Linked DNA regions of Lytechinus pictus. The protein of the gene in region 3 interacts with the protein of the main gene of each other region in a pairwise test. Links are inferred from orthologs where the notes say so. Each region holds a gene or a part of one and is shown on either strand. Other genes may lie near its edges.

Region 1 (10,532 bases), on a different chromosome or scaffold from region 3:
CATGAAATTCTGGATCTGCCTAAACCCCACGCGAAACGAATGAGACAAGCTAAAGCTCAAAATTAACCAAATTACTTTAACCAACTTGTCACATTGTTCTCTGTGCAATCCTTGCGGGTGAGTATTTTTGCTACCCGCAGGTTGCCCGCATTGACAGTATCTTGCACGCATCTCTCACGCAGTTGCCAGCAGAAGCGCACGCAGAAAAATTTTGAACTTGCTCACAACTTTGTTGCAGGAGAGTTTGCGGGCAATCACCTGCAACTCACTCGAAAGGCTTGCACAGGACGATGTGACAGGGCCTTTACATAACAAAGTCATCTCACTTTTCTAGACAACAATGCCCAGGGAACACTAATTAACTAGTTATTACAGTTATTACAGCTATTACAGTTAAATTCCAGTGCATTTCACAATGACGATGGTTGCAGATTATAATTTAACCTTCATGAAGTCTCTGACTTAAATTTGCTTACTAGTGTTGGTGAGAAAGTGATGCTGTAGTATAAGATCAAGGGTGGAGTATACTTCATCAGACCATCGATGTAGTCTTCCAAACTGAGCAGGGTGATTCTCAGCAAGTACCTGGTAAAGTAAAATAATCTCTATACACTAACATAAAGCAAATACAACAATAATCTATTCAGTTACAATACAATATTCAATTTGTTGTCTAATATAAAACTTGACTTTGAATAAACCACTCCTTTTATTCTTTGGGGAAAATCCTAAAACACTTTAGAGAAAAGTCATTAATACCTCGCAAATCAAACAAAGTTTAGATTGCAATATTAGTTTTTTATTGAAATTGAAAATTTTCATTCAATATCATTTCATAAACTCTAGAAAATTAGTCTATATTTCCTGTTGCAAGAGCAAACTAGCACATCAATGATGTGGAGCTCATCCGGCATCTTGCAACAAAATTTAACACAATTTTTTATTTCATCCCAGTTGATACTGTAGTGAATTATATTGGAGACATAAATTGAGGAAACAGAATTGAAATTGATGAAGAAATGACAGAGAAGCACTTTTTGGTGATTTATGAATAAAATTTGTATGAATTAGCATAAATAATTATCTAGTCAAAATTTCTAGAATCTGTGTAGAACCTTGGTGAACCTCATGTAGCTCTCAGATGGAACAAAAAAATCAGTCAACAACTAAATAAGCAGCATTTTTTGTGAGTTTTGAAAAATATGCATAAATTAGCATATTTAATTAATTTAAAAATTCTGTGTAGAAATTTTGTATCCCCACCTAGAGCTATCATATAAAGGAAACAAAATTAAAATTGATCAACAAATGAAGGAGAAAGGGCATTTTTTGTGATTTATGAATAAATGTTGCATAAATTAGCATAAATAATTTTCTAGTCAAAATTTCAAAATTCTGTGTGGAAGTTTGGTAACCCTCATGTAGCTCTACCAGATGGATGAAAAAAAAAATCGAAGTTGGTCATCAAATAAAGACGAAGAAGCATTTTATGTGAATTTTTAAAAATATGCATAAATTAATTTTGCATAAATTAGCATAAAATTTTTTCTAGCCAAATTTTGTGTAGAAGTTTTGTGAACCTCATGAAGATCTACCAGAAGGAAGCAAAAAACTCAAAATCGGTCAATAAATAAAGAAGGAACAGCATTTTTTGTGAATTTTGAAAAATGTGCATGAATTAGCATATTTAATGAGTTTCAAAATTCTGTGTAAAAGTTTTGAATCCCCACCTAGTGCTATCATAATAAAGCAATCAGAATTGAGATCGGACTTTAAATGAAGAAGCAGAATTTGGAAATTGTGGACGGACAACAGACGACGGACGCCACGCCAATTCAATCCCTCAATTGCAAATTTGTAAATAAGACTAATGATTGATTTAAAAAAAGAAAAAAATTCTTCTAGAAGTTCTATGCAATGTCTCCAAAGTCTAGGTTCTTTGAGAGCCAACAATATTGTGCAGTAGTAGAACAATATTCTAGGATGCTGTTGAATTCTTTAAAATGATGTTTTCATGAAGAGTACCCTTTGACTTACCTTTAAGAAGTAGGACAGAGCAGGTCTCAAAGTAACCATTAGGCTCTCTTGGGCAAGAACCTCAAAGAATGATGGTCGATTGTCAGTGGTTGCTGAAGTAAGATGAGCTCCGAACTCTGCCATTGTGATTTAGAATTTGCACACATCAGATTGCAGAATAGCAGTATCTCAGTTTCTTCTCCAGGTAGCCAAAGTTTCCTTTAACAATAAAAAAGATCGATTTCTAAAACAGATTGACTGCTGAAATTAGACATTTGCTCACTATTGAGCAAAACAAGCCATGGAACGATGAGTGAAATTCTTCAAGTTGTAAATAGTCAAGTACAGTAGATCGAACTTAGAAAAAAGGTCAATAATAATCTGGAGAAAAAATAGACTACTAATAAGAAATATAATATCATTTTGTTTGGAAAAAGTTATAAAAATACCTGTCAGCTATCATTATTTAGTGTTATTAAACAACCTTTTACCACTGAATTCCAGTGTGCAATCTCGTCATAATCTAAGTTTTTCAAGTACATGGTATTGAAATTCATCCAAACGTGCAGCAAAATGTATATACATGCACAAATTGCTTAGTTCTGAACTCGTCCATATCACAAATACATATCTAACGTTAACTCGGGACTACCTGTTACTAGATCTACTACACAAGCTACCATGACTATACAGCAAAGACAGAGTTGCATCCCTTTTGCTGGTATTTCTCAGCTGAGCGAGACATGGACATGCAAGATATCCACTATCAATGGAAGTTAAGTTCGATCTACTTTAATGTTAGATGTAGAAAAATTAGAAATCCCCTTAAGGCTTGAGGGGGGGGGCAATGGGGACTAATGTCCCTCACACTGTGTACGAGTACGTAGCTAGCCGTCTACCGCGTCTGGGCTGTGAAGGAGAAGAAATTTAAAAATATATGTTTAAACACTCCAATTACTTACGTTACGGCCCACCCATCCAACAACTGAATGTAAGTTTTATTGTTTATCCTTGGTTTTAGGGACATAAGTTATTTGTAGATCTACACAAAAGTGCTTGCTACCTTCAAACTGATCCAAATTCAAAGCATACTAGACTCTGTTAGGGATCAAATCTAGGAATTAGATCAATAAAATTGTACTTGATTAAACAATAGTTAGTATCTGCACTATTTCATTCATAGACCTTATTTTTAATTTAGTTGCCCATAAATTTGAATTATCCAAAGTTCCCCTTATCGAACTGCTTATCATATTTATTTCACAAAGCAAAACTGACATATTGTATGTAGGCCTATGAGAGAAGCCGAAATTCGAGATCAAGCGGAAATCATTACCAAAGATAACCTCAATAATTTAATTCGTGTAAATTCTTTCTTTTTTTTTTGAGTATTTTTTTAGTTTTTACTTTTATCTTATTTAAAGGCCTAATCCAGAATTACTTAATGTCGACCGTCATCGCCTCAGCTTCACTCACACCTAATGCGTTGCTACAACGTTAGTGCGATTAACTTTAAGTTTAACGTTTTTTAATTTTAGACTGATGATTGATACCGTACTGAATATGTCCCCTGCCCTGTTGCGGAGGAGTTTTTTATTTTTAACAAAATTTTCTGATTTTTTTTTGACGGAGTGGAGCCTGATGAAGTCTCAGCTCAGCAGAGCACATCCCAGAAAGAAATAGACCTTTTTATATGGGTCTACCTCAGACTCGGCTCCACTCCTAACGTTAGTACCAAGTCAGACCAAGTCCAATGAGGTCCAAACATTAACATGCTCGGCTCCATTCATTCTAGGCCAAGTTCAAGCTTCAGCAGCATGCAACCAGGCAGTATACCAGGCCCAGGGGCAGGGCCCCGGCGCGCCTTAGTCTTCTTTATCTTCTGAATATTGATGCGTTTGGATGTTACTGTTAATGTTATAAGAAGACCCCACAGAGGCTTAGACTTAGCCACGTACGGACGGACAGCAGCCCGATCGACCGACCGGCCGCGCCGCCCGGCCATCAGCCCGGCGCGATCATCACGCGACTGCCGACATTGGAAACATGCGCGGGGAATTCAATTTGATATCCTGTTTTTACAATTTACCTCACGATGCAGCGTGACATAAATAGCTTTCCTATACCTCCATCCTTCAGACTGAAGCTGAACAATGCGGGATTTAGTTCTACTTCTGATATCTTGGAGCTGAAACCATCAGAACTCAGCAAGGGTAAGCAAGCAGCGACATATCCTGTTTTTATCCAGCAAAAGTTTCGTTTGTAGTCCCATATATTTACAATTATGTTAGTTGGTTTCTCCCTAGAACTTAGAAGCCATATCATATGCCAGCATCCATATCGGCCATCTGAGTCTGACTCCGAATATTTGTAACTTACTAGTAGTTTATAAATTTGTGTGAATCACTGCTGGCATAAATCGTGGCCCGGCTTCGTGGGGGGGGGGGGGGTGGGCCGTAAAGATTTTGGGAGGGGATACTGTATATCCTTCAGTTTCAGGGGGGGGGGGGTGGAGTTACTGCGGCAGCCCGAACACGTAGAGTAACATTAATAATACATTCTCCCACTTTTCAAGAATTTTTTTTTCTTTTTTAGTTTTATTTTTCTTCATCCTAATGCCAATATTATAATGCCTTCTAAGTGCTAAAATTTACCTAATTTTGCATTCTAAAAAAGTAAAAGTGCAAAATTTCTTGCACAGTTGCTCCGCTCCTAACTTAGTGCTCATGACGAATCTTAGTTTTCTTACAAATTAGGCCATAAAAAGCAGATATCTTCTAAGTTCTAGTAGTAGTACACCAGACCAGAGCTCTGAATTTTCAGGGTTAGGCTCTATTGATCAATTATGTAATTGATTATATTTTTTGAGTAATTGCAATTTGTAATTGAAATTTTTAAAGGGAAAGTAATTGTAATTGAAAAATTGTAATTGACTTCAATTACTGGATTTGAATAAAGAAAGAAAAATCCAACAAGCATAACACTGAAAATTTCATCAAAATCGGATGTAAAATAAGAAAGTTCTGACATTTTAAAGGTTCTCTTAATTTCACAAAACAGTTATATATGCACATCCTGGTCGGTATGCAAATGAGGAGACTGATGATGTCATCCACTCACTATTTCTTTTGTATTTTATTATATGAGATATGAAATATTCTAATTTTCTATTGTCAAATGAAACAGTGATTAATTCCTCCCTGAACATGTGGAATTAGCTTTGCAGTTTAATGCTACATGTATATGGTTCAGTCAAGTCGGTCTTTATATGGTCAAATCTGTAAAAAATGAAATAAAAGAAATAGTGAGTGATGGACATCATCAACTGACTCATTTGCATGACACTGTTTTGTGAAAAATATGCGAAACTTTAAGTTGCCATAACTTTCTTATTTTACATCCGATTGTGGTGAAATTTTTAGTGTTATGCTAGTTTTTTTCTCTACTTATTCAAATCAATATTTTGCTGGGGTGGACTTGACCTTTAATCTCTTGCATGCAAATATATCCTTTCCCATGCAGTGGCGTAGCTAGGATTTTTTTCCTGGGGGGGCACTGGGGGGTCCTTGCTTTTTCAGGAGGGGCACCATTTTTTAGGTGTGTGTGTATGTGTCACAAAGGCGGATCCGACTTTCGCCAATAGGGGACGGTGCCCGAAATTATCTTCACCTATATTTTCCCGATCAGTCACTTCTTAGTTTTATTCTTATAAAACAACATTAACATGAAATAATCTCATAAGCCTTATAAAAAGTGCGAGCGCGAAGCGCGAGCGATTTTTTTTTACTTTCATGTATTTTGTCCTGAAAATTTAATATTCTGGGCAATGTTATGTGTGATCCTGAACAAGATTCGTATGTAACTAGATGGTTACTGCGAACGCCAAGCGCGAGCAGAAATTTTTATTAACTGTTCTAGCATTATCGAAAAGGGACCTGTTAAGGACTGCTTACAGTTACCCACGAAGACGGTATATATTTCAATAATGCGAGCGTGAAAATTCCGACCTAAAAATGGTCATTCTAAGCACTTTTTGTATTAATAAATGGGATAGGTATGTAACTAAACAATTGATGCGAGCGCGAAGCGCGAGAGGTAGAAAATTGAGATCTCAGACCTAAAAGCGGGACACTCTAGTCATATTTTGTAAATCATAAATAGGATATAGTTAATTGGGTATCATTAATAATGCGATCATGAAGCGTGAGCAGACAATTATTGATATTCTGATGTGAAACTGGATAATTTAAGTACATTCTAAATAAAGAACATGCAGGCTATCGCGCATGTTTTAGATTTAGACCTAGAATCTGAGCATTCTGAATACATTTGTTTTATGGAACATTATGGAATACACCTAGACAATATGAACTTGGCAAATCAAACAATGTGACCACGCAGCGTGAGCTTAAAATGCTGATATGTAGACCATAAAAACGGACATTTTACAGAGCACTTAAATTTGTAAATGAAAACAAAAATATGAAAGCTCGATGTCCGAGCTAAAATATGTTTTGTACATAGACTTCAAAACTTGCTCCATATCAGCCTATTGAGCAAGATATGAATCTCATCGAACAGGCAATTCTGGCGCGAAGCGCAAGCAAACATTTTATATGGTAACATGAAAGATTTTTTTTTTGCAAGTCTTCCCCTCACATTATTTCATTCACTCGTCTTCCTCCTCTTATTTTCCTCTTCTGTCTTTCTTCTTTTTTTTCTTTTCTCCTTTCTCCCTTTTTTTTTGCTCTGCCAATTTTTTTCAGGGGGGGCACCTGGGGGGGCACACCAAATCTCAGGGGGGGCACGTGCCCCCCCATGCCCCCCCGTAGCTACGCCACTGTTCCCATGATGTGGAGCCAGAGGAAAGAGGATACATTGCTATAACAAGTGCACAAATTGAACATCTGAAATATTTGGGACAAATTTGCAAAACAAAATAGGTTCTAACACGGAATCAAACTATGTAATTTTTTATACTAGCAAAATTACATTTCGTATAAACTCATGTAGTGGCCTGATTTTGTTAGTAAGAAAACGTAAGATGTTTACTAAAATCTTTAGAATTAAGTTGGGAATACCTCCTCAAAAAGTGAGTTTTTAGTGGATGAAAATATTTTTCCTGCCCCCTATAGTTGAAAGCTGGATCAGCCCTTGATGAACGAGGTCACAACTCTCAATTCAAGTTTACATTCATGTTGTACATCATGATTTCTACAAATGAAACTAAAGCATGCAGATCTGCATATTATTGAGAATGTCAGTTGACTTTAGCATTGAAGGGAGTGATAGGCAGGATCAATGCTCTCTAAGCTAATAATCATTCATTTTGTCAGTTTCTCTCAAACATAGAATTAAGTTGAAATGGATGACACTACATACAAAATATAAATTGATTTCATGAAAGTAATTGAAATTGTAATTGACAAAAGTAATTGTAATTGAAAAAAAAATTAATTTAATTGAAAAGTAATTGTAATTTAACATTTCTTCAATTACCTAATTGTAATTGTAATTGAGCCCAACCCTGACTCTGATGATAGGATGCATATTTAAATTTCAATTAGGTTTTTGATATATCCCTGTCAGTATACAGTACGAGAGACAAGTACCGAACGCACATCATTGTTTTTTTTTTTTTTACCATTGTACTCGCTGCTGTGTATTTATCATTGCAGGTGACAGCTTTGTACTCTTTCAGATAGATTTTGTAAGCTACAAAAAGTAATTAGTGCACACAACTCAGAAGAGAGAAGACAAAATTTGACATCAGTAAATGAACTGGTGACTTAAAGCAGGATAATTCCAACATTTTTGGATTTAGTATAAATTAAGTTAATGTAGAATGTGGTCAGTGACAATTACAAATCTTGTCTTTGTCAATAAAATTGATTCTTAATGGCATATTTTTGTGGTTTTATATCATTCTCAAAGTCAAGTATCAACTTAATAATTCTCTTTTTTTTCTTCTAGTATTATATTGTGTAGATGTAATTGTCATAGTTTTTTTCTTTAACCTAACACCTTTTCAGAGATAAATATTTCTAAAGAGGATGCTCTGGAGCTGATCAAGACATTTAAGTCGGGAGCAATTAATCCTGTGCTGCACGAGAAATCAGAGAAAGATCTTGAAGACGAGGAGCTATTAAAAGGGATATCATCAGGCTCTGAATGTTCAGGACTAAAATCCAACAAACTTCCCGTTACTGGCTCAATATCAGGTGCTTAAAATAACATGGTGCATCATGTTTTTATCAGAGTACTGGGTTTAACATTTCCAGTGAAACAGCATGATTTCCAATTCACAAATAATATTTATGTTTTTAATCATGCCTTTATTATTTAGATTTATTTCATTCATTTATTTATTTTCTAATCAAGCCATTTGTCTCAGTCTCTTTATCATTCAATTAATACAAGTTTGTATCCTTCTATCTGTTCATCAGTCCACCTTTCACTCTCTATCCATCACCTGATATATCAATCCTCCTATTATGTATTTCCACTTACCCGTTCATCATTTTATCTCTCCATTATATATCCATATTACCATCCATCTATCTATCCATATTACCATCCATCCCCATGTTCATCCATATTTCTGTTTCTCCATCCATCTCCCAATCCATTCATCTTTCTATTTCTCTCCCCAGCCATCAATCTATCCATATATGCCCATTGATCCATCAATCTTTCCACATTTACATCCATTCATCTATCCAACCACCTATCAAGCCTATCAAATTATCCTTATCTATCACTTCAACTATCGATCTATTCCGTCCGTCCATCCATCTATCTGTGGTCATGTGTCATGAAGTCACCTACTTTGGCATTACATGGTGATTTTTGTTTTTGGGTCGCCTCCTTAATTTCAAAAGTCTCTATCTCACTAACTATTATAGTAGAAGTGTACATTTTCTGAAAGGAAATTGCTTATTGAACCCAAATATTTTTAGGTGTAAGGCAAGTGTTATATTGTGTTGAATAGAAAAATATTGATAATTTTTTAAATCTCATATTAGTGATCATAATAATTTGTATAGTCCCCCTATGACCAAAATAATCATATATCTGTAAAAGTACAGAGTTAGACGTGTATATCAATGTATACCGGTAGTTTTATTGGGTTTATGGTAAAGAAATTACTTCAAAATCAACCAAAAGTTATGCAAATATTTTTCAAAAAATTGATATATTGTGTGTGCTATTTTCGCCTGCATTACCATTACATGGTAGGTATATCTGCTGTGTTCATCAGATTTTAAGGTATTAAAACAATTTAAAGCAAATTGTGATAGCATTAAACCAATTGATTATTCTAAGATTCTTCACATATTGTTAGTGTGAATGTCTCTGACCTGTGTCATTTGACCTTTAAGATCTGTAACAAAACTAGGTATCACTTTCATCAACAGAATAGTAGAAATCACATTTCTGTTTTTACACAAAAGCTACATTGAAATTAAGAATAATTGTAAAGAAAATATGTGCCAATATGGAAGAATTTTTGAGAAAAGTGAACAATTTTGACAATTTTTCTATTTCTTTTTCAATTTATTTTACCTTGTTTTTTGTTTTAAATGACAATGACATTGCCAAACTTATTTTTCAAACAATTAACAGTAAAGAGGAATGTTCTAGCTTTCACTTGATACCAAATTTGTCATTAGAAGTCAAATTTACACAAAAAATATTAACGTTTTACCCAAAATAGCACAAAATATTGAGAATCTCTATTGACTTTGTACAGGTGGCACTGCTCCGGCAGCACCACTTCCGGCATCAACACTGGTGCTCTGTCTTTAAAGATAGCCAAGTTCTATTTATCTTAGAGTAAGGAAACTGTGTACATTTTTAGCCAATGAATTCAGCTTCAATATAATACCAAACTTGTTGGCATAGCTCATATGGTTTTAAAAATATGTAAAAATAACTCTACAGATTAACCAAAATATATAACAGTACAACCCTTTTTGGTGGGCGACCTCATGACACATGGCCCTATCTATCTATCGACCTATCTATCTATCCATCTATCTGTCTGTCTGTCTATCCGTCCATCCATTTATCTATGATCTATCTATCTGTCTTCCATCCCTTTTATTAACAATTCCATCTAATTACCAATCTACATGTATCAGTCCAATACATACTGTTGCATCTATTATCCTATCCATTGATATTATCCATCCATCAAATACTTCATTAATTCCTACATCTCCCAAAACTCACAAACAGGCAAATGAGATCATCATGTGTCAATTTCCCATTTGGATTGACCAATCTTGCAGGTGTAGGGGATAGAAAGAGAACAGCTACAGCCTTTCAGATGCTTCAGAAAGAGCAGTCCCTACCACCCATCATCACATTCTGTGAAGAACTTGATGAGATGCTTGGAGGTGGTGTACCAATGAGCAAGATCACAGAGATCTGTGGTGCTCCAGGTGTTGGAAAAACGCAGACATGGTCAGTATCAGTGCCTTTTTATATTTTGCTTTGAGAGATTGCAACAC
Region 2 (10,861 bases), on a different chromosome or scaffold from region 3:
GATTATGTTTCTGCCTTGTTTCACCCTTGAAAACTCTTGGAGAGAAAAAATAGGCTTTGCTTTAACAGCTACATATGAAGACATGCTCGCAAATAAAAGCCTATCCCCATCAGAGGGCTGTTGAAATCACCCCACCCTTTTTCATTATTGCTTATTTATTGGAAAATTCACGATTTTGGAGCCCCCATTGAGGCAAAAAGGCGGTTCTGATATATAGTTCTACCACTATTACCGCCTTGAAACTACTTGGAGAGGAAAGAGTAGGCTTTCCTCTAACAGCTACATATAAAGAAGTGGCTCTACTATATACCAGAAACACTTTTTTGCCTCAATGGGGCTCCAAAATGGCGAGTTTTCCAATGAATTGGAAAAAATCGTAAAAAAGGTGGGGTAACATCTATATAGTCCCCTGAAGTGGGTCAGGCTTCGATATGGCAGCAATTCGTTATATATAGCTGAAAGATGGGAACCTACTCTTTCCTCTCCAAGTGGTTTCAAGAAAATGAAATTGGGTGTTTTATACAGCAGAAGTGCATATCGCCTCAATGGGGGCTCAAAAATTGTGAATTTTCAAATAATTAGGCAATAATGCAAGAGGGGTGGGGTGATTTGACAGCCGCCAAGATAGGTAAGCTTCAATGTGCCAGCACTTCTTTGTAGAGCAAAGCATATTCTTTCCTCCTTAATTGGTTTCAAGGCAATAAAAGTGGCAGAACTTTATATCAGAGATGTCTTTTTACCTCAATGGGGGCTCAAAAAAGGTGAATTTCCAATAAATAGGTAATAACGCAAAGGGGTGAGGGGGTGATTTCGACAGCCCGCAGAAGGGGGTAGGCTTTTATTTGCCAGCACAAAATTATGTGGCTGATAGAGCAAAGCCTATTCTTTCCTCTCTAAGTGGTTTCAAGGCAATAAAAGTGGCAGAACTATATATCAGAGACGCCTTTTTGCTTCAATGGGGGCTCCAAAATGGTGACTTTTCAACAAATAGCCCAAAACCGAAAATTAGTGGGGTAACTTCTACAGCCGCTTGAAGGAGATACGCTTTGATTTGCCAACACTTCTTTATATGTAGCTGATAGAGCAAAGCCTACTCTTTCCTCTCCAAGTCATTGCTAGAAAAGAAATTTGCTGTACTATATAGTAGAAACGCCCTTTGCCTCAATGGGTGATGCAAATTGTGACTGTCCAATAGATAGTCAATTACCGAAAATTGGTGGGGTAAATTCTACAGCCCCCTGAACATTCTGAAGGGGATAGGCTTTGATTTGCCAACAGTTCTTGATATGTAGCTGATAGAGCAAAGCCTAATTTTTCCTCTCCAAGTCATTGCAAGAAAATAAAATTGGCTGTACTATATAGTAGGAACGCGCTTTTGCCTGAATGGGTGATCCAAAATGGTGAAATATCCAATAAATCGGCAATATACATGATATAGAGGGGGAGGGGGGTGACTTAGACAGCCCATGAGAGGGCTAGGGTTCAATGTGCCAGTGCTTATTTATATGTAGCTGGTAGAACAAACTCTACTCTTTCCTCTCTAAGTGGTTTCAAATCAATAAAATGGGGTGTACAACAAAGCACAAACGATTTTTGGCCTCAATGTTGGGTCCAAAATTGTGAATTTTCAAATAAATTGGCAATATTAAGCAACCCCCCCCCCCCCCGAGAGGGGTAGGCTTCGATGTGCCACTTTGTATGTAGCTGGTAGAACAAAGCCTATATACTCTTTCCTCTCCAAGTGGTTTCAAAGCAATCAAAGTGACTGTACTGTATAGCAGAAATGCCTGTTTTTGCTTCAATGGGTACTCCAAAAAACAGATATTTTTCCAACAAATAGGCAATATACAACATGATATAGCCAAGGGCAAGGGGGGGGGGTGACTTCGACACCCCCACCCCATGAGAGGGTCAGGCCTTGATGTGCCAACATTTTGTTTTATGTAGCTGATAGAGAAAAGCCTACTCTTAACTCTCCAAGTGGTTAAAAAGCGGAGATAATTGCATTTAAATTTTATTAAACTATACATTATACATATTATACATGTACAGTACATGTTATACGTATTAGTCTATGGAAATGCATACAAAAAGCGACATTTCTGAAATTGAAGTATTCAAGTTTGATACCTTATAAATTTGCTAAGAAGAATGATACAGAGTTGGAATTTCATCCACATGATAATAGTATGTCAATAAAGTTTTCTGGAACATTTCAAGGTAATTCATTCATTTTTCTCAGAATTATGTAAAATCATGTATTTGCTAAATTTTCAATTTTTGGGAAAAAATGACAAAAAATGCAGTTTTCTACTTAAAATCTCAGCCAAATGACCTACTTATCCCCTATAAATAGTACCAAATTGTAGAAAATTTATTTGTCTTTCATATGACACTAATTTTGTGGCAATGGAATATTTATGTCAAAATCTATGTACGAAAATTCAAATGTTCTGAAAATTCGGCGGCCATTTTGAAAAAAGCACCCTCACTGGTTAATTTTCAGGATACAGCCTGGTTACCTCATATATTCATATTCAGCGTAAAAAACTGGTCTAGAAGCACTATATGAAAATTTCTCCTTTTTCTTGTGGCACCTTGCTCAATTATAACCCGGACTAGATGTACCTTTTAGTTGTATTTCTTTTTTTTAATAATTTTTATCTTGAACATCATGACAAAATATATATGGTCAATATGCTCTTTAATTAATTTCCTAATCTCATATATTTTTCATATATTTTGGAGGGGACTAGGACACACAATACAAAAAGGGGAAATCACTGAAAATAACCAGAGGAAGAAAAAAAGAAATTAAGAGAGGGGGAGAGAATGAAAGAAAAAAAATAAGCCCTTGTCTGCGCACACATGCATACACATAACTGCATGATTCTAAAGAAAGAAGATACGCAACCACAAACTTTACACATGCAATAAATAGAAAGATATTGATTAAAAAATCTGACTCAAAATGGTGGAAAAATAATGAATATTGGCATTTCATGTGACAGCCTCAAAATGCAGCCTTTCTCATCAAAATTTATGGGTGCGCAGACATGGGGCACCATGGCATTGTTTTGTTCAATCTGAAAATGACTGGCCGAGGTTTTTCCATATTTTTATGAGATTTTTGGCACACTTACTCATAGAATATAAGGAACTTCTGAAACTGAATTGTTTTGTGGAATTCTTATTAAATCTTAACTTTAATTATAACTTAAGTGCGCAGACATGTTTACTTTAACTTAAGTTTTAGTTTATCTTAATACAGCCTACACTGCACTGGTTTTAAATTATTGATTCTGAGATTGATAAAAACAAGGAAAAGGAGTGAATCATTAGACCAAAAGCTTCAGTCTCTGTATTTTGGTTGTTCCGCTGAACTGCGTTGGCTCACTCACCAATAGTCATGTGAAAGGGGATGATAGTAAAATGTCAGAAATTGCTGAATAAATCCCCAGAAACGATGGTTATTCCTGTCTAGTGAATCATTTGCTTATAATAAAGAATAGGTGCCTTTAATCTATATCCTACCTCGAACGATGTTCGTGCAGGCTCCACTCCACTTCCGCTACACTACGCTCCACCTACCTTCGGTAAGTGGAGCGTAGTGTAGCGGTAGTGAAGTGGAGTGGAGCCTGCACGAACATCGCTCGAGGTACCTTTATCCTAGACCAAAAGCTTCAGTCTCTGTATTTTGGTTGTTCCGCTGAACTGCGTTGGCTCACTCAAGTCAAGGTGAATGGGGATTAGGCCCTATAGTAAAATGTCAGAAATTGTTGAATAAATCCCCAGAAACGACAGTTATTCCTGTCTACCTTTATCCTAGCTAAGTTAGATCCATTTCATTTATTCTAAAAATTGAAACAACAACTTCTACAAAATAGATTTAAAAAATTAGACGGTCCATGATCGATGAAGCATGATGACTGAGAGTGAGAACAGAGAAGTGAGTGGAAAGACAATGATTTTGAATTATTGAAAATGGCCTGTTGTTGGACAATCGACACAGTTCAGGCTGGCTACCATAGCTAAAGTCCACATTTTTTTATATATATATGCAATATAGTGTTAGGAGCTGTGTTGAAATTAAGAAGAAAAATAATACCGTGATTTTTTTTGTTAATAAAGAGAGAATTACTCACCCGTTATGCAGTATGAAAGCACACGAAATGTCTTTTCCACTTGAGAAACAACGTCAGGATTTTCGACGACCCACTTTCGATACCAAGCACATGTTTCTTGGTATCTTAAACACATTTTACCAAGATATTTCATACTGATGCATGCTTGCTCCTGTGTATTCAATGGCGAAGCTGACATTTTTAATCAATAACTCTTTACGAGCAGAGTTTTTCCGAGACATCAACCTAATCAACAGGCAAATTACGCGAAGAAGATTGTAGTCCCGTTGGTTGTAAAATTTGTTGGTTTTATTGCATATTTGGCCGGGGTAGTAAAATCGGATGGTGGGGCGCCATCTCTTGCTCATGCTACTCCTAGTCTCCTACAAACAAACCCAACAAATAATTCTGAGACCAACTTGATTTGGCTTTGTTTATTTGTTTTGTTTGGTTGTTTGTTATTCTACCTCCGTAATGATAGCAATTTTTTTCCAAGATACAAAAGTATGCATTCGGACCATATAGTGACACATAATACCTTTAATTTGATTCTATATGATTCACGCAAAACAATTGCAAACGGATTTTTATTTGAAGCAATAGTGTCTCCAAACGAATTTTCATGGAATGTGATTAAACGATTTATATATTTATTCAAATAAAACATTACAAAATAATGTTTGATTGACTGAATAGGGAACTGGTGACGATGCTGTTGCCGCTAAAGGTCATAATAATCCAATTTTCGTAGCGTACCTTCCACTTTACTCAAGGCGATGATGATGATGAGGAGGAGGAAGAGGAGGAAGAAGAGGAGGAGGAGGAGGATGATGATGATTATGATGATGATGATGAGGAGGAGGAGGAGGAGGAGGAGGATGATGATGATGATGAGGAGGAGGAGGATGATGATGATGAGGAGGAGGAGGAGGAAGAGGAGGAGGAGGAGGAGGATGATGATGAGGAGGAGGAGGAGGAGGAAGAGGAGGAGGAGGAGGAGGATGATGATGAGGAGGAGGAGGAGGAGGAAGAGGAGGAGGAGGATGATGATGATGATGATGATGATGATGATGATGGTGGTGATGGTGGTGGTGGTGGATGATGATGATGATGAGGAGGAGGAAGAGGAGAAGGAGGAGGATGATGATGATGATGGTGGTGGTGGTGGTGGTGGATGATGATGATGATGATGTTTTTTTCACCCATAACAGGGGCATTTATTTTCATACAAAATCAATATCACATACAAAACTCTGAAATACAATTACAAAATAACTGGCAAAATATACATTTCTTACTTTCCCTTTTTCTTTAGATCCTTATCAATGTCTAATTTTTCAATTCCTTCATCATATATATATGATGATAACGATGATAATGGTGGTTGTGGTGGTATCAGAAATGAATCTGTTCGGATACTCTGAAAATACCATCATTCTGTAAATTTGGCTTGGATGGGTAACCAATTATTTTTTTTTCTTCGTTTTTTTTTCTTTACAGGAAGTGAGTATGATACTATTCTGTCATGAACTGTATGGATCTCGGGGGCAATGAGTTACTGAGGAATTATATTAATGTGGCAATTTGAAGCAGGACGGTTGGAGAAACAATGAAATGAATTCTTAAAAATATATATGTTCACATGTTTATAAAAAAATATATATATACGAGTGTACACATTGAGCATAATTATCGACAAAATCATGTAAACATTCAAAATCGGATTTGAAACGGATGTATATAAAATTTACTTAATATTTTTTTGTTCTTGAAGTACGAGTATTAGATTTGTTTTGGGATAGATATGCTGACACGATCACTCGACAGGTCCTCGTTATAAGAAGCCTATGGTTCGGGGCAACGAGAGTCCTTGATAAAACAGAATAGAAGCATGCAGAGCCCTGAGAACGATTTTTTTTTTTGCTGGGGGTGCTGAAGTAAATTTAAATAGCAAAAAAAAAGCCGTTTTGGTGCCAAGAAATTTGACAAGCAAACAAAAATAAATAAAGAAAGGTTTTCACTCCAAAAGGTGCGTAATTTCCCTATATTTTTCAAAATTTACCATACCAGATTTTCTAGGGGTGCTGCCTATGGAGAGTAATACACTGTAAAAACTGTGGTGTTAAAACTGACACCAGTTGGTGTTAATAGAGGACCACACCCTGAGGTGTTAAAATTACACCCTAGAGAATGAACATAACACCAAAGAGTGTAAATGTAACAGCCAAAGGTGTTGTAATAACACCTATGGGTGTAAAACTAACACCACTAATTTAACACCGGTGTAAAACAACTGGTGTGGTCCTCTATGTACACCGGTTAACACCACAGTTTTTGCTGTGTACACGCAGCACCCCCTGGGAAAATCTTGGAGGTGCCTCAGCACCCCCGCTTCCCAGGGCCATGCATAGGAAAGTGTATTCCATACAAATCAATAAATCTATCATTATTTATATATTCTTATATTTCTTTTTATATATGGCTTTTTTTTAGTTTTATATTCTTATTTGATTTTCAAATCTTGCTTTTAATTCACTTATTTTGCGGACGGCCAATTTGTCATCGAGAGACAAACCTGAACAAATTCATTACGCTTGATGTTTTGAATATTTACACTGTCGGTTTTTAGATCCATTCAAAGTTATGAAGAATTTGCATGAAAAAGCGACTAAATCCACTTTTGCTCATTCTTCATAAATCAACATTTCTAATTTCACCCAAATCTATGTTTCCCTTCAGGAAATTACTATACTATGTTTAAGAGTCATCAATATTGGTAACGAAAAAAAAAAAGCTGCAGATGTCTTTTATTTTATATGATTCTTTTATATTTATAATTTTTATGGATTTAGTCCTTTTTGAATGAAAACTAATTTTAATTTGTTGCTATGTCAGGCAAATCTTCTACCTGTAACTAGTATAGAGACCAGTCAACCATTTCCAATCTATAAACTAAGGGTAGGGGAAGAGATAAGTACTATAATGTTCATGTTAAACCTTCTGTACATTTGTTACCCCTCTGCATGGACTTTTCATGCAAAAAGGGATTATATCCAAAATATATACACAAATTCATATCAAATAAAAGACATCTGCAGGATTTTTAAACTATCATTTTTATCATCAACCTATTGCGCATACATTCGTAATTCCGAAGCTTCGTTATTCCGAAGGTTCGGATATTCCGAAGGTTCATTATTCCGAAGGTTCGTATTTCCGAAGGTTCGTAATTCCGAAGGTTCGTTAATCCGAAAACGAAATGAGGTTCGTAATTCCGAAGGTTCGTTAGTCCGAAAACTAATGATTAACGAACCTTATTTCGTTTTCGGACTAACAAACCTTCGGAACAACGAACCTTATTTCGTTTTCGGATTAACGAACCTTCGGAATAACGCCACAAATGTTCGGATTAACGAACCCTTTTACGTTTTCGGATTAACGAACATCGAGGTATAGGCAATTTACGTGTTTCGGAATTACGAACCGTCGGAATAAAGAACCTTCGGAATTATGAACCTTCGGAATTACGAAGTGATATATTGATGGCTCATAAATGTAGGAAGATAACTTCCTGAATTGTAATATAGATTTGGGTGGAAAAAAATGGTTTATGAAGATTCAGCAAAGGTAGATTTAATTCGTTTTGCATAAACAATGTTTCAGATTTAGTCTGTTTTGCGTGGAAAAAGTAAATTTCATGTCCATTCTTAATAAAGTTTTTGAATCTTTTGGGAGTTGCACTTTAGTCAGTTTGATGCACAAGCGGTGAATGTCCGTCTAAACCTTCCAAAAATACCAAATGTTGAAAAATGGATTAAGTCCCTTTTACCTGTTACCTCTTCATAATATGTTTAAGCGCATTTATTGATAAATTACAATGAAAAGTTTTTCAACTGCGAATCCCCTGAAATGTTAAAAAAGGATTACGTGAAATAAATAAGCAGATCTAACAAATTCGGTATTAGAGATTATGTGAATAGGCGTAATTGCGTTGGAAAAAGCCACGCACGTCATATTAAGATAAAAATAATGAATGAACTAAAAATAATTTCTTGCATTAACGAGAGCTGAATACTAAATAGGGGAAAAATATAAAAAAAGGAAAAGGAAAAATTATCAATGTATCTTGGATTAATTGAACGATAGTTGTGTAATTGGAGGTTGGGGATTAGAACATAAATTGAACAGTTTGCAGTAAAAAAAAAAAGGAAAAATAAAATAAAATATGCACATTAGCATAACCATGTAATAAGGTTCCCCGGTTTTTTTCTGCATGTACTTTATTCACATTCGTTCCAAGCCATGGGGGATTTCAACCAATGATTAAAATATCAGTAGTCCATTGACAGATCCAGGGGCCGAAGGGGCTGCACCACCCCCCCCCCCCCCTATGGCGGCGCGAAAATGGAAGAACATGAAATTTGGAAGAAAAAAAAGAAAGAAAGAAAAGGGGAAAGAAAAGAAAAAAATGAGTAGATGAAAAATCAGCGATTAAAAAGGTCTCTTTTAAATCAATATTAAAAATTTCTGCTCACGCTTCGTGTTCAAATTGTTTATGGAGTTACACAGTGCACATTTTTATATTAATAAAGCGCTTAAAATCTTTAGTTTTGAGATTGGAATAAAAACAAAATCGGCTCGAGCTTCGCGCTGGCATTATTTATTTAGTGAAGATCACGTTCATGGCTACAAAAAGTACACATGATGTTCGGATTTCAGGTCGGAAAAAAAATATACAATTCCATGCTTCACTTCAATTATTTGATCAGATACTCATACTCGTCGTGGTTACAAAAGTGCTTAGAAAGTCAATTTTTCACACACAAAAAACAGCTCGCGCTTCGCGCTCAGATTAATCTATCCTGTTCATGATAGGCCTACAAACTATATAGTGCTTATGTCAGGTCAGTGCACTAAAAATTTCAGCTCGCACTTCGCCCTCGCAGTAATTATTTAGTTACATACTCAGCTTGTCCATGATCACAATCATTGCAGCATGCACAGAATGCAATTTTCAGGGGGAAAATGGAACCCCCCCCCCAAAAAAAAAAGCTCCCACTTCGCGCTCACATTATTTAATAAGGATTTAAGAAATACAATTTTGTTTGTCTGTAAGAATAGAGTTAAGAATCTCAAGGGATTGTTAGGACGACCCCTTCAAAGAAACTAACAAAATTACGTTTTTAGCGGCCGATCGGAGAAAATTTTCATTATTTTTTTTCGCCACCCCCCCCCCCCCCCTAATGGCGAAAGCTGGATCCGGCCCTGGTAGTAGTGACTACCGATTCACTTTAATGTGAAAGGTTACGCATACAATTTGTGCAACTTGTCTATTTCCGACATGCGTCCAGTGGTGTACATGTGTAGCTAGGATTTTTTTTTCCGGGGAGGGGGGGGGGGAGGGGCACTAGGGGTCCTTGCTTTTTAATGGCGGGAACAATTTTTTCTGTGTGTGTGTGTGTGTCACAGGGGCGAATCTAGCTCTCGCCAATAGGGGGTGGGGCCGATCGGCCGCTCAAAGTTGATTTTTCTTTGTTTGAAGGGGAAGTCCTCATAGTCACTCCTTAGCTTTATTCTTATAAAGCTACAAAAATATGAAATAATCTCATATAACATGTATAAGCCCAATATATATATAAAAAGTGCGAGTGCGAAGCGCGAGCTAATTTTTTTGGAACTTTCATGCATTTCGTCCTGAAAATTTAACATTCTGGGCAATGTTTGTGATCCTGAACAAGATATCGCGAACGCCAATTAGTGCGAGCAGAAATTTTTAATAAACGTTTTGGTCTGATCGAAAAGGGACATGTTGAGGACGGTTTGCAATTGCATTACCCATGAAGATGATACATATTTAAAGAATTAACTAATGCGAGCGCGAAACGCGAGCTGAAAATTTTTGACACTCAGAACTATTTTTTTTTGGTCATACCAAGCACTTTTCGTAATCGTGAAAGGGATAAGTATGCAAACAATTTATTGATGCGAGCGCGAAGCGCGGGCGGAAGAACATTTAGATTTTAGACCTAAAAACGGGACACTCATGTTTTGTGAATCATGAAAAGGATGGGTAATTGGATAGCTTCCTACATTAATAATGCGAGGGTGAAGCGCGAGCAGAAAATTATTGATATTCTGATCTGAAACTGGATAATTTAACAAGCTGCCTATATACAGTATTAAAAAAAATGTATGCGTCTGTTTTAGATTTAGACCAAGAATCTGGATATTCTGTATACATTTTTTACTCATGAAGATCAACCACATGATCAATAATGCCAGTTCGAAGCGCAAGCTGAAAAAAATCACATTCCGATCTGAAAAGGAGTCAGTTTAGGCACTATTTCAAGCACTGTGTATGAAAAGTGTGAAGTTGATGTGGATCACACTAAATAATGCGAGCAACCGGGACATTCTAAGGACATTTTGTCATATATGAAAATGATGGCTATCTTCCTATTATTCCTTAGCGCGAGATGAAACTTGTCGATATTCCATTCTGAAAAAGGGCCAATTAAGTTACTATGAATTCATGAAAATTTTATTGTATTATTTATTAATCTAATATGCTTAATGAGAGCGTGGAATTTCTTGAAAAATTGACATTTTAAGCAACTTGTAGTTATGAATAGGACACATGGGTTAACACATTTTTAACATTGATGCGAGCGCCAATCGCGAGCCAAATTTTTTATTTTTGTTATTTACTAATAAAAATTGCATTTTAAGTAGCTTGA
Region 3 (10,858 bases):
GTTGAACAAAATATTGCCGATAGACCGAGGTGGTGTTTTCCGCCCAGTATTCGGTCACGCCGCCCAGAATTCGGTCGCGCGAAAACGCGCGATTTATCTGATGTTAACTATTCGAATTTCTCTTATGCTTACTGTTTTTTATTCCTTTTATGTGATCTCCACATCTTAATTATGCATTTCTAGTGTTTACTTTTTAATAATAGCAACAATAAAACCTAATTAGTCCACTAGAAATAACAGAACAGGTGGAAGAATTGAGACTGAACGGTATTGTTTGAAATTTCGCCATGTGATGGCGTAAACTGAATATATATGTTTCATTATTCATTCTATGAAAATACATGTTTAATAATTAACTTTTGTATTTTTTCTTCCCTCTTTTACAGGCAAAACTCCTTTTGTATTATTTTACTCTGTTTATGATTTATAATTTCCTACTTTCAATCACTTGTTTTGCTTTGCGACGTTACATTTCATGTTATTTTTTTCTGTTTTGTTTTGGTATTTATATAATCCCAACTTGCATGGTTTCTTACCTGTTTGCCGTTCTCATATTCCTATGCATGCCCCGGATGCATGCTCGTTTGTTTGGGGTTTTTGTGTTCTTATATTTTGTTTATGAATTTCAATTTCCTACTTTCAATCACTTGTTTTGCTTTTCGATGTTATGTTTATGTTGTTTTTGTGTTTTGTTTTGGTAACATTCCAACTTGCATGGTTTCATACCCGTTTGCCGTTTTCATTTTCAGATGCATGCTCGCTTGTTTGGGGTTCTGTTTTTGTCTGAGGGAGTCTTTAATTATTTTGGTCTGTTTATTATTATTATTATTATTTTGCTTATTTGGTAATTCAGTACAGTGGGGAATCCAAGCGGGGAGCAAGGTCCGTGTACCCGTAATTCCCGTTTCTTTTTACATGATAAAAGTGTCAAATTAAGGGGGCTCATCCCTGGATCCGCTACTGAGTAGAATCTATTATTTTGGAGATTTTACTTAATGTTCATAATTTTCTAAAATCATATTTTTAATCTGCCATCCCGATAGTCCTGATAGTCATTCATGAAAATCTATCAAATAACTTGGTTTTTGTTTTTAGTCGCTCCAGTCAATCACCAAAAGATAATCAGCCACACAACCTATGTCAAATAGTAGATCAACACTAGCTCATTCAAACTATGGGCATCGGAGAAGAGGATTATCTTTTGTATTTTTTAGGGGGTGGATGCAACAATAGAGGTCCCCAATGAATATTAATCCTCTGCTCTGCTGACCATATCAATCCCCTCTCGTTAAGATTATATAAATTTTCAATCACTCAGAATTTTTAATACAACAATCCAAAACGGAATCAACCAGAAAATGGCGCAGCATCATCGTTTCAGTCAATTTCATTACAGACAAAGAGTCAAATGGGCAACATGTTATTGAAACTTCACGTCTTTGCAGTCAAGATATTGTTTATTTTTTTCAGTCTATGAAATGAATGGCAAGGTGAATGTAGAATTAATACAAATGGCAAATAAGTTTCATACTCTTGTCTTTCATAAATGGAAAGAAATCAATAAATCAAATACTCTGTAACAAAATTTACTGTTTGGCCATCTACGTACAATACATTAAATTTATATAAAATTAAGAATGATATGAATACAAACAATAGAATGTAAAAATAATTATTGTACTGCAAAATAATTAGTACCAGGGCGTAACAACTGCGTAGAATATATATTTTCTTTGTAATTTCTTGGATTTTATATTAGTTTATTTTTTACAATAAAATTAATGGCTCAATGATACTTATAAGATCTACGTCGGCCTCCGATATAGGGAAAGCGAAGAGGAAATTTGGATTTCATATCATTCCTTTGATAAATCAAACAAAGTTTTAGGGAACATTGTGATATAAGAGGTCATTGAAGACTATCTTTAATTCACTCAATGCTAAATCTTTCTTGAATACAAGTGTGGTACGCCTTCTTGATGAAATAATTTGAATGAAGATAATGTACATAAATTAATTTCATCATAATGGCCTTAATCTATTATTCTTACACTATCCTTTTCATAATTATGCTCATTGTTTTATTGCAACTTCCTTCAATATCATAATTTACTGGTTCCATATTAAAACACAAAACTACTGCCCTCGCTATTGTCATTTCCTTTACTACATCAATGGTCCTTTAAATCCCCCAAAAATGAACGAGAAAAATTAAATGGGAAAGAAAGACAAAATAACGACGAGACCGACAATTAATTTTGAATCATCTGCTGAAACTCTAGTCTCTTCACCCCGAATTTTGCCATCCGCTGTTCCAATGCCGCCAAATTTGCTTTCATAGCAACGGACAGGTAAGGGCTGGAACCATGCCGCGATTTTACTGGTGTCTTCCCATCGATCTGTGGAGAAACTGGTAAGGAAAAATTTTAGAACATTTGAATTACACAGCATGATGGAAATTACCGATTGATATAATAGTTTAAGTTCAGAGTATGGTTAAGTAAATAAAAAGATGTAGACCTACTTTATCCCTATGCGTTGATTTAGGTATCCCATATACCTAAGACGCCCTCCTTTTTGACATCTTGTCTACCATCCAATACCGAGTTGTCAACCTGCTGTTTGATATACTGTTAGTAAAGATTTTGATATCTGTTTGAAAAGTCATTGAAAGTATGAACTCAAAGAATTTAAAATTAATATTAGACGAAAGGAACATTTTATTAATTCTATAAATCACTTTAGGCCTAACTCGGGCAACTGAATTCCAATTGAATTCACAACAGTAACTGATAATTCTAACCGAATTCGTCAACATTGTCATCCACTTTCGATTGATGTTATTAGCAATGATGACAATATTAAAAGGCCCCTTGTTTTAAATTAAAACGACCAAAAAAATTAGCCGCAGACCTCTGATATGTGAGGGACGGGCAAAATTGAGGGGCAATTTTCCAGCCTTTGATCTAGCAATGACGTCTTTTAAAATAACACTCGTGGAAGAGCCTTTTTAATTTTTTTTTTCTTGGGGGTCCATCATCCCTGGAACCGGATGTATTATTCAAATTAATAATAATATTGAAAATAACTATGATAACATTAAAAAAATAACACGGTTTAACTATTGAGGTTGAGTTTGACTATTGAGGCCAAAAAGGAAATCACTAAGACTTAATCTCAATCACGTTAAAGGCAATATCAAAATGAGCCCTGGTCAAATTCGCCAACTTCGTCACCATCGTCATTCACCCGCTCATATTGCATTTTCACAGGCAATAAACATCTTTGTTCTAAGATTTTTATTAATAAAAATAATTGTAGGTATATTCTTAACTTATTTAGGCCTAACGTAGGCATATCATTTGCCCTATCATTTGAGAAAGATGTAGACTTCAACTCAATCACGCAAAGGCAATCAAAATGAGCCTTGGTCAAATTTACCAACTTCGTCACCATCGTCATTCACCTGCTCAAATTGCATTTTCATAGGCAATAAACATCTTTGATTTAAGATTTTTATTCATGAAAAATAATTTTAGATATATTCTAAACTTATTTAGGCCTAACAGAACAAAAAATGGATTAAGATAAGTGTTTCACTTGCGAGGAGCAACGTATCTGCACGCTCTTCCCTCCTCACAAACACACCGGCAAAACACTCAATGTTGCGCGACCGAATTCTGGTCGAGCGCCCTCTCACTATAGGGGCAATGTATAAGCCCTCGCTACTCATCAGTTTCACTGCTAGTTGCATATTCGCTGCGACTGGGTGAACACACAAGTCTTCCCCTTCACACTCGTACCAAATTCACTACACCTACACACAAAGTCATGACGTCACAAGAGTTTACATGAGGTTGCGTCCGCTTAACTCAATAGCTAAGAAACCCGGAAGTAAACAAAACCCCCCCGACGCGGTCAATTTTAAGGTTAGTTTTTGGCTGTGTGCTTGTCTTAATCGACATTTTTTTTGAGGTGGGCTGGAAGTGCTGGTTTCTTGCATGATATGCCAAAGTTTTCTGGCTCATGCATTATTTTTTTTTTTTCAACAGCTGTTGAAACAGCTGTCTGACCGAATTCTGGGAGGTGACCGAATACCGGGCGCGTTACCCTATACTAACCTCGCTCGCACCACGAACCGCGTTTGGCAGTGGATTTCTAACTAGTGGGTCGCGCGTGCTGGGATCTCACTTCTTGGGTCCCCAACACACGACTTCTATGGCTTGATTTTTCTGTGCGCGGCGGCATGTAATGAACCCTTGCTTGGCCTTGGGTGAAATAGACCTAGGCCTACAAAAAAATATTTTATAAATAGGGCCTACCGCCTAGGCCTATATTTTCTACCGCCTAGGCCTATATTTTTTTATTACAAGTGCAAACAGTACTTGCACCCATCAATTTCCAACCTTTAATTGGAGGAAGACTTCAAATGTTTCCACCACATCACGCAAACTCGGCAGAATAACATTGTCATTAACAAAAACTTTGACAAATTAGTTAGACTTGGTGCATACGCAAAAACAAGCATGTGGGACCGAAATTTTCAACGCCCCTTACAACAACGTTGGGTTTTATGGTCATGTGAGAATCGAGAATGCTCTTACTGTCCAATAACTGATCGAGATCTACGTCATCTTTACTTTCACTGTCCACCACCTGACTTAATGATTCCTTTGAGGGTTTTTCTTCAGCCGGACTGGTCATCGTTCCTTCCACTTTCTCACTATCAGCTGCTGCCATTTTTAAGATAAGCACGAGCGATGAGGGCGGGCTTGCAAAACATTGCCAAAATTAAAAAAGGCAAAAAGGGGTGATCTGCATGGTGGACTGCGATCCCCCGGGTGGGGGGGGGGGGGCTTCAAAATTTGCACACAAAACACTAGGGTGGATTTTCTCCCCCTAAATGGACCAAAAACCTCACAAAAATTGCCGCACCTGCTGATGTGCAATAGCAGTTCATTTCCATCGATAATTTTTTTTTTTTGGGGGGGGGGGTCAATCCGAAGATGCAGTGGAATTACGAGGGAGTAGAACTAAGTTTTAGCTTTTTGTTCTAACTTTTTTACATGTATAACATTAGTCATGTAGAGTATAGTTTATCATTTAGGTGATGTTTAATAAAATTGTTTCGTTATAATTGAACTGGCACTAGATCGATCTGCTCATGCAGCTGTTGGCCTTTATTATTTTTCTCTCTCCATATATTGAATATGATATGTCATATACACCTCATGATTTCTTTGCATCGACATAATTTTGTATAATTCGCATATATCTTTAATTGATTAGGCCTATACCTTTTAGGCAATCAAAATTGATGTCAGTGTCGTGCTCATTGCAGTGACAGCTCGTTATTTGCACTGCTATAAAGGGGGTTTCAAATTATTTCATTCGATCCGATCTATTGTGATGGACATAAAATAGTAAAATATATAGATTTCTATTGGCCAATCGTTTCAAGAAAATCAGTCTTAACTCTCAAAGGTCAAGTTCCCCTAAAAAAATATTTCAATTTTTTTTTTATTTGAATCAATTCAAACAAGCATATAACTCTGAAAATTTCATTAAAATCGAATGTAAAATGAAATCTGATAGTTAACGTTTTGCTCGTTTTTCACAAAACAGTTATATGCACAAATATGTGATATGCAAATGAGAGAACCGATGATGTCCCTCCCTCACTCACTATTTCGTTTACTGTTTTAATTATTCAATATTCCAGTTTTTCAGATTTGACAGTGATAAATGGACTGCAGAAAATGTTAAAACAACGGTAATTTACATATTCAGGGAGGAATGAAACTTTGTATTACATTATAATGAGGGGAAAGTTAAAATATATTGTATTTCATAATGATAATACAAACGAAATAGTGAGTGAAAATGTCATCAGTCCCCTCATTTACATACCGACCAGAATGTGCATATAACCGTTTTGTGAAATTAAGCGAAACTTTAAAATGTCATATTTTTCTTATTTTGCATCTGATTTTGATGATTTTTTTTTTATTGGAGTTTTTCCTTTTTTGTTGTTGCTGGGATGGACTTTTTCTTCAAGTCAATCACTATTAATTTTTTTTAGGTAATAAGGCTTTCAAAAGTTTACGACATAGGCCTACTTAATTTGGGGATTTATCTCCTCCAAACATAAACAAACAAGAATGAGGAAAGAAAAGAAGGATACAAGAAAGAAAATAGTGACATATATATTAGTCATAATCTATCACATATTTCCATTCTTTAATTTTTCTCGCTTGCTCCGCTACCACTCATTTTTTTATCAAATACAATTTTCTTTTGTCCCAACTGTGCCCATACAAAATATCGGGCTCACTGTGCCATTGACGCAGTATGAGTTTGAGAAAAATATAATAAAAATTATTTTAAAAGGGGATGGGGATACGACAAAAGAATGGAAGGGAAACGGGAGTATAGGGCATATTCCTGTTATTTCATTGTTGAGAGGGAGGGGGTCGCGGCACCTTATCATATACTCTCCCCCTATCCCGACACTGCCCTTGAGTATGTATGGACTTCACCGGGGAGGATAGGCCTATGCATCGAAGAATGTGGAGGTTTTTGATCAATTTAACACTTTTATAAAATCAATATACTTTGTGTTAAAAAAAGTAATAAAAGAGAAGGAAAAAAAATCTCATAAAACAGAAAGCAAAGGAGTTTGGAAAAGTTCTCGGTCATGAATTATAAACCCCTCAAAAAAAGTTTTAATCTGACTTTGATCGACAATCCTTCCTCGTTTTTAGTGAATATCAATGTGTAATTGATACCAATGAATCATTTAATTCTCTTTAAATTGATACCCTACATGATATGATTATGGTCCACATGGAGGTGCAGTGCCTTGAAATGTGGGACAAGGTCACAATTCAAAAGTTGCAAAGTGACACAATATTGAAAGTCACTGTTCTTTTTTTTTCTTGGTGATGAGTGAGTTTCTCAGCGGTTTCTTTTGTTTTCATGCACCTTAACAGCAACATTAACATGGAGATCTGTGAGATAACATGGTTTGAAATACACATGCATGTTTGTTTGTTAGTTATGTGTTTGCTTGTGCAGAGGTGTGTTTGATTCCATGTTAAAGGTCAAGTCCACCCCAAAAATTTGTTGATTTGAATGGATAGAGAAAAATCAAACGAACATAACACTGAAAATTTCATCAAAATCGGATGTAAAATAAGAAAGTTATGACATTTTTAAATTTTGCTTATTTTTCACAAAACAGTTATATGCACAACTCATTGATATGCAAATGAGAGAGTCGATGATGTCACTCACTCACTATTTCTTTTGTTTTTTATTGTTTGAATTATACAATATTTCAATTTTTACAGATTTGACAATTGGGACCAACTTGATTCAACCACAAACTGTTAAAATAATGGTAATTGCACATGTTCAGGGAGGAACAAAAGTTTGTTCCACATGACAATGAGGAGAAAATTCGAATTTTTCATATTTCATATAATAAAATACAAAAGAAATAGTGAGTGGGTGACGTCATCTGTCTGCTCATTTGCATACCGACCAGGATGTGCATATAACTGTTTTGTGAAATTCAGCAAAACTTTGAAATGTCATAACTTTCTTATTTTACAACCGATTTTGATGAAATTTTCAGTGTTGCGTTTGTTGGATTTTTCTCCTTTTATTCAAACCAAATTTTTATTGGGATGGACTTGTCCTTTAATGTTAAGGTGCATGAAAATAAAAGAAACCGATCAGAAACCCACTCATCACCACGAAAAAAAGAACAGTGACTTTCAATATTGTGTCATTTTGCAACTTTTGAATTTTGACCCTGCCCCTCATTTCAAGGCACTGCACCTCCATGTGAACCATAATCATATCATGTAGGGTATAATTTTAAAGAGAATTAAATGATATTTTGAATGATATCAAATATGCATTGTGTAAAATTGGGAGTTGGGAGAAATTAATGGCCAAACTCAGATTTCCAAACTTTTTTGAGTTTATAATATCCCTTTCATTTCAGAGATGCTAACACTTCAGGAGGCCGTTTCATAAAGCTGTTCGTAAGTTAAGAGCGACTTTAAGAACGACTGGTGATCCTTTCTTGTGGTAAGTGACGGTTCACCATTATGTTCATTAGTGATTATTTAGCGCGTAAGAAAGGTTCACCAGTCGCTCTTAAAGTCGCTCTTAACTTACGAACAGCTTTATGAAACACTCACCAGGTATTATTCCCCATCCAATACCCCCCCCCCTCCACGTACGCACACACAACCTCTGATCGAAACGCCCATACTCATCAACATAGATTCTTTAAAATAGCTTTGCCGGTAAATAGACTCAAATAAAAGAGCGGGTATACTCCGTAAAGTAAAGTGCATTAAAGTTTATTAACATTTTACGCACACTCAGAACAATGGCCACATTAAGCATAAAAACAGATAAAATCAATCAAAATATCGACTCTTTGAGATGAAATCAATTATTGAGATGATACTAGATCAAATATTTACATTATATATCATATTTCATTCTATAGATTAAAGGCAACTCGCGTAATAATAGAGGAGACTTCTTTGCTGCGTAATCAAAACAGCAGGAACAAAAAATGGACAAGCATAGGCCAGACATCCATGAAAATTTAAACAATATGCAAATAAGAAAAATCATATTTCATGAAGGGTTCAATGCTTCGGAAAGAAATTCAAATCAAAACTGTTTGTTTAGGTGAAAAGAATAGACATTACCCAATTATAACAGTATCTTATTATTCCCCTATTCCATTTCTCACCTATAACAGCACAGTCGTTATGCGATGTTTTATGTTCGATAACAGCCCATTATTAGAATATAAAAAAATGCCATCTAGAGTATGAATTTAAAAAAATGTACGATCCAGGGGCCGCGGAACACTCTAAAAACAAATCAGTAAAAAATGACTGGTTAATAGGGTCAGCTGGGAGCAACTGTTATTCTAGTCATATTTGACTATTTTACTAAAATAGAGTTATTTCTGACTAGAATATATGTCAGATATGTGACTATCAGTGATTGCCATATCAGTTGCTCCCAGCTGACTACTGGTCTAGTCAATTTGACTGATCTGTTTTAAGAGTGAACGGTTTGGGAAATTTTGGCTTATCATACAAAAACTAAACCAGATGTTCATTTTAAAGTTTTTTTCTACACGTTTATTGAGAAAAAAAAAGGATGAGGGACGGGAGGCTCCCCTTTCCGAGCCCCCAGGTTCCGCGGTCCATGCATTGGGATCGATGAACTTTATCTGCGTAGGAAATGAGCAAAGAGTTGGAAAATAGGAAACAATGTTGATAAATACATGTAGATGAATGATCAAAAAAGGAAAGTGATTTTCCACAGTTTTTTTATAAAGTTATATACCCTGCAAACCCCATATGCTATCTACAAGTATCTCTGTGTATAAATAAAAGAAATATGAACGATGATTTAGCTTAAAAGATTATCGCTTTATAATGAAACAAGAAAATATGCTTCGGATTTCAAAATTTTGGCATTTTCTTCGAACATGGTCTTGTATGTCGAATTCGCATTCACCCTCGATTTCATGTAAATTAAACAAACTATTATGGAAAAGTAATGAACTTTCCTAATGATATGATTTTTTCTCGGGAAACATCACGATCGTACATGATATGATGATCACAGTGGTGAATCTAGTAAGACAATAGCATGAAAATTAGACCTACAAGAAAGCAGTCGTAGTATGATAATAAAGTATTCTTGTGAAACCTTGAACCATTCGAATGGAGACATACTAGATATTGAGATACCAAATAAGAAAATATTGATACGATCATCAGGTTTATCTTGCTCCAAAAAGTGCCATCATGGCAAAAAGAACTAAAACACAGATTTGCATGCATTGCCAACAACACACAATTTTCACCACAGAATATAAAATCTAAAAATATAATCTGTATGAACACGAGTATACTACACTGGACGGATATCTAAACCGGAAAACCGATGATCCGAAAATTATCCGACAATGGACGAATTTCGTCAGAGACTGTACGTGGTGCATCGAAAATATACACTAATGTATCCCTTTGGCAATTTGCTTTCATTTATCAAATCATAAAACAATATTTAGTTGTAGGCCTGTATGAAAATTTTTAGAAAAAAAAAGGCATTTGTTTAAACATTCATCATTTGCAGAACTAATGTCAAATGATTGATTATTGCAATTACGAATATCAATATGATGATATAAAATCAGACCTTAAAATATTGTGTGTGAAAGTAACAATTTATATTCATAAAAGTTCATTTGAATTTGTTGCAAAATCATATTTTTGCTGGGAAGAACCGATCCATATCATATTGCTGTATTATTATTACTTATTTATCATGATTTATTTCATTCATCAACTCAAGTAGCCATTTAGACTTTAATCATGATTACCCAAACTAAAGAAAGCCTGGTAATAACTGCAAATTGCAGGGCTGCACAGAGTCTCTCGTCGGTGATTTTCTCTGACTTTTGTGATAAGCTACCGAAATCATTGCATCTGATTGGCCGAGAGCAAATTCATCCGAGAAGATTGAGTGATGTGACACTTCGTGAAACGCTTCTCGAACAATGATCATGCTTATCTTTCCCACGTCCATTCAGCGTGTACTGTGCTATACAGATCGCCGAAACACCGCACGACTATATAGTCGCATATAAACGTTCGCCAACATGCGAATCCATTTTGTTACGAAAGTCACTGACCGAAGTCACGCCCAGCGCGTTCTCAAACAGTACCGGCTAGAGCAGTTCTTCCAACAGCTTGTAATCCAGTATTTCCATTTGCTCCTTCTTTCACTTGTCTCTCTTTTAATG

What was found. The genes of interacting proteins can lie anywhere in the genome.
Region 1: the proteins of peroxisomal biogenesis factor 19-like (region 3) and peroxisome assembly protein 12-A-like interact in a two-hybrid assay, tested with the Homo sapiens proteins (4 studies listed by BioGRID and IntAct, with this or other methods). The link is inferred for Lytechinus pictus from reciprocal best matches to the Homo sapiens genes PEX19 and PEX12.
Region 2: the proteins of peroxisomal biogenesis factor 19-like (region 3) and peroxisomal membrane protein PEX16-like interact in binary tests that used the Homo sapiens proteins (3 or more experiments, as listed by UniProt). The link is inferred for Lytechinus pictus from reciprocal best matches to the Homo sapiens genes PEX19 and PEX16.

The regions. Positions count from the first base shown.
Region 1 is NC_087246.1:9,739,158-9,749,689, reverse strand, and holds the start of peroxisome assembly protein 12-A-like, read right to left. Parts: upstream 4,457-10,532; 5' UTR 4,230-4,456; coding exon of another isoform or gene 4,112-4,229; 5' UTR 4,106-4,111; exon of another isoform or gene 3,702-4,105; intron 2,236-3,701; 5' UTR 2,161-2,235; coding exon 2,038-2,160; intron 586-2,037; coding exon 477-585; intron 1-476. Other genes in the region: DNA repair protein RAD51 homolog 3-like, read left to right, coding at 4,112-4,229, 8,049-8,237, 10,311-10,485. UniProt on the Homo sapiens protein: Component of a retrotranslocation channel required for peroxisome organization by mediating export of the PEX5 receptor from peroxisomes to the cytosol, thereby promoting PEX5 recycling.
Region 2 is NC_087253.1:15,130,735-15,141,595, reverse strand, and holds the start of peroxisomal membrane protein PEX16-like, read right to left. Parts: upstream 4,457-10,861; 5' UTR 4,324-4,456; coding exon 4,146-4,323; intron 1-4,145. UniProt on the Homo sapiens protein: Required for peroxisome membrane biogenesis. May play a role in early stages of peroxisome assembly. Can recruit other peroxisomal proteins, such as PEX3 and PMP34, to de novo peroxisomes derived from the endoplasmic reticulum (ER).
Region 3 is NC_087252.1:8,080,969-8,091,826, reverse strand, and holds the start of peroxisomal biogenesis factor 19-like, read right to left. Parts: upstream 4,765-10,858; 5' UTR 4,741-4,764; coding exon 4,605-4,740; intron 1-4,604. Other genes in the region: uncharacterized protein LOC129266355, read right to left, coding at 10,770-10,858. UniProt on the Homo sapiens protein: Necessary for early peroxisomal biogenesis. Acts both as a cytosolic chaperone and as an import receptor for peroxisomal membrane proteins (PMPs).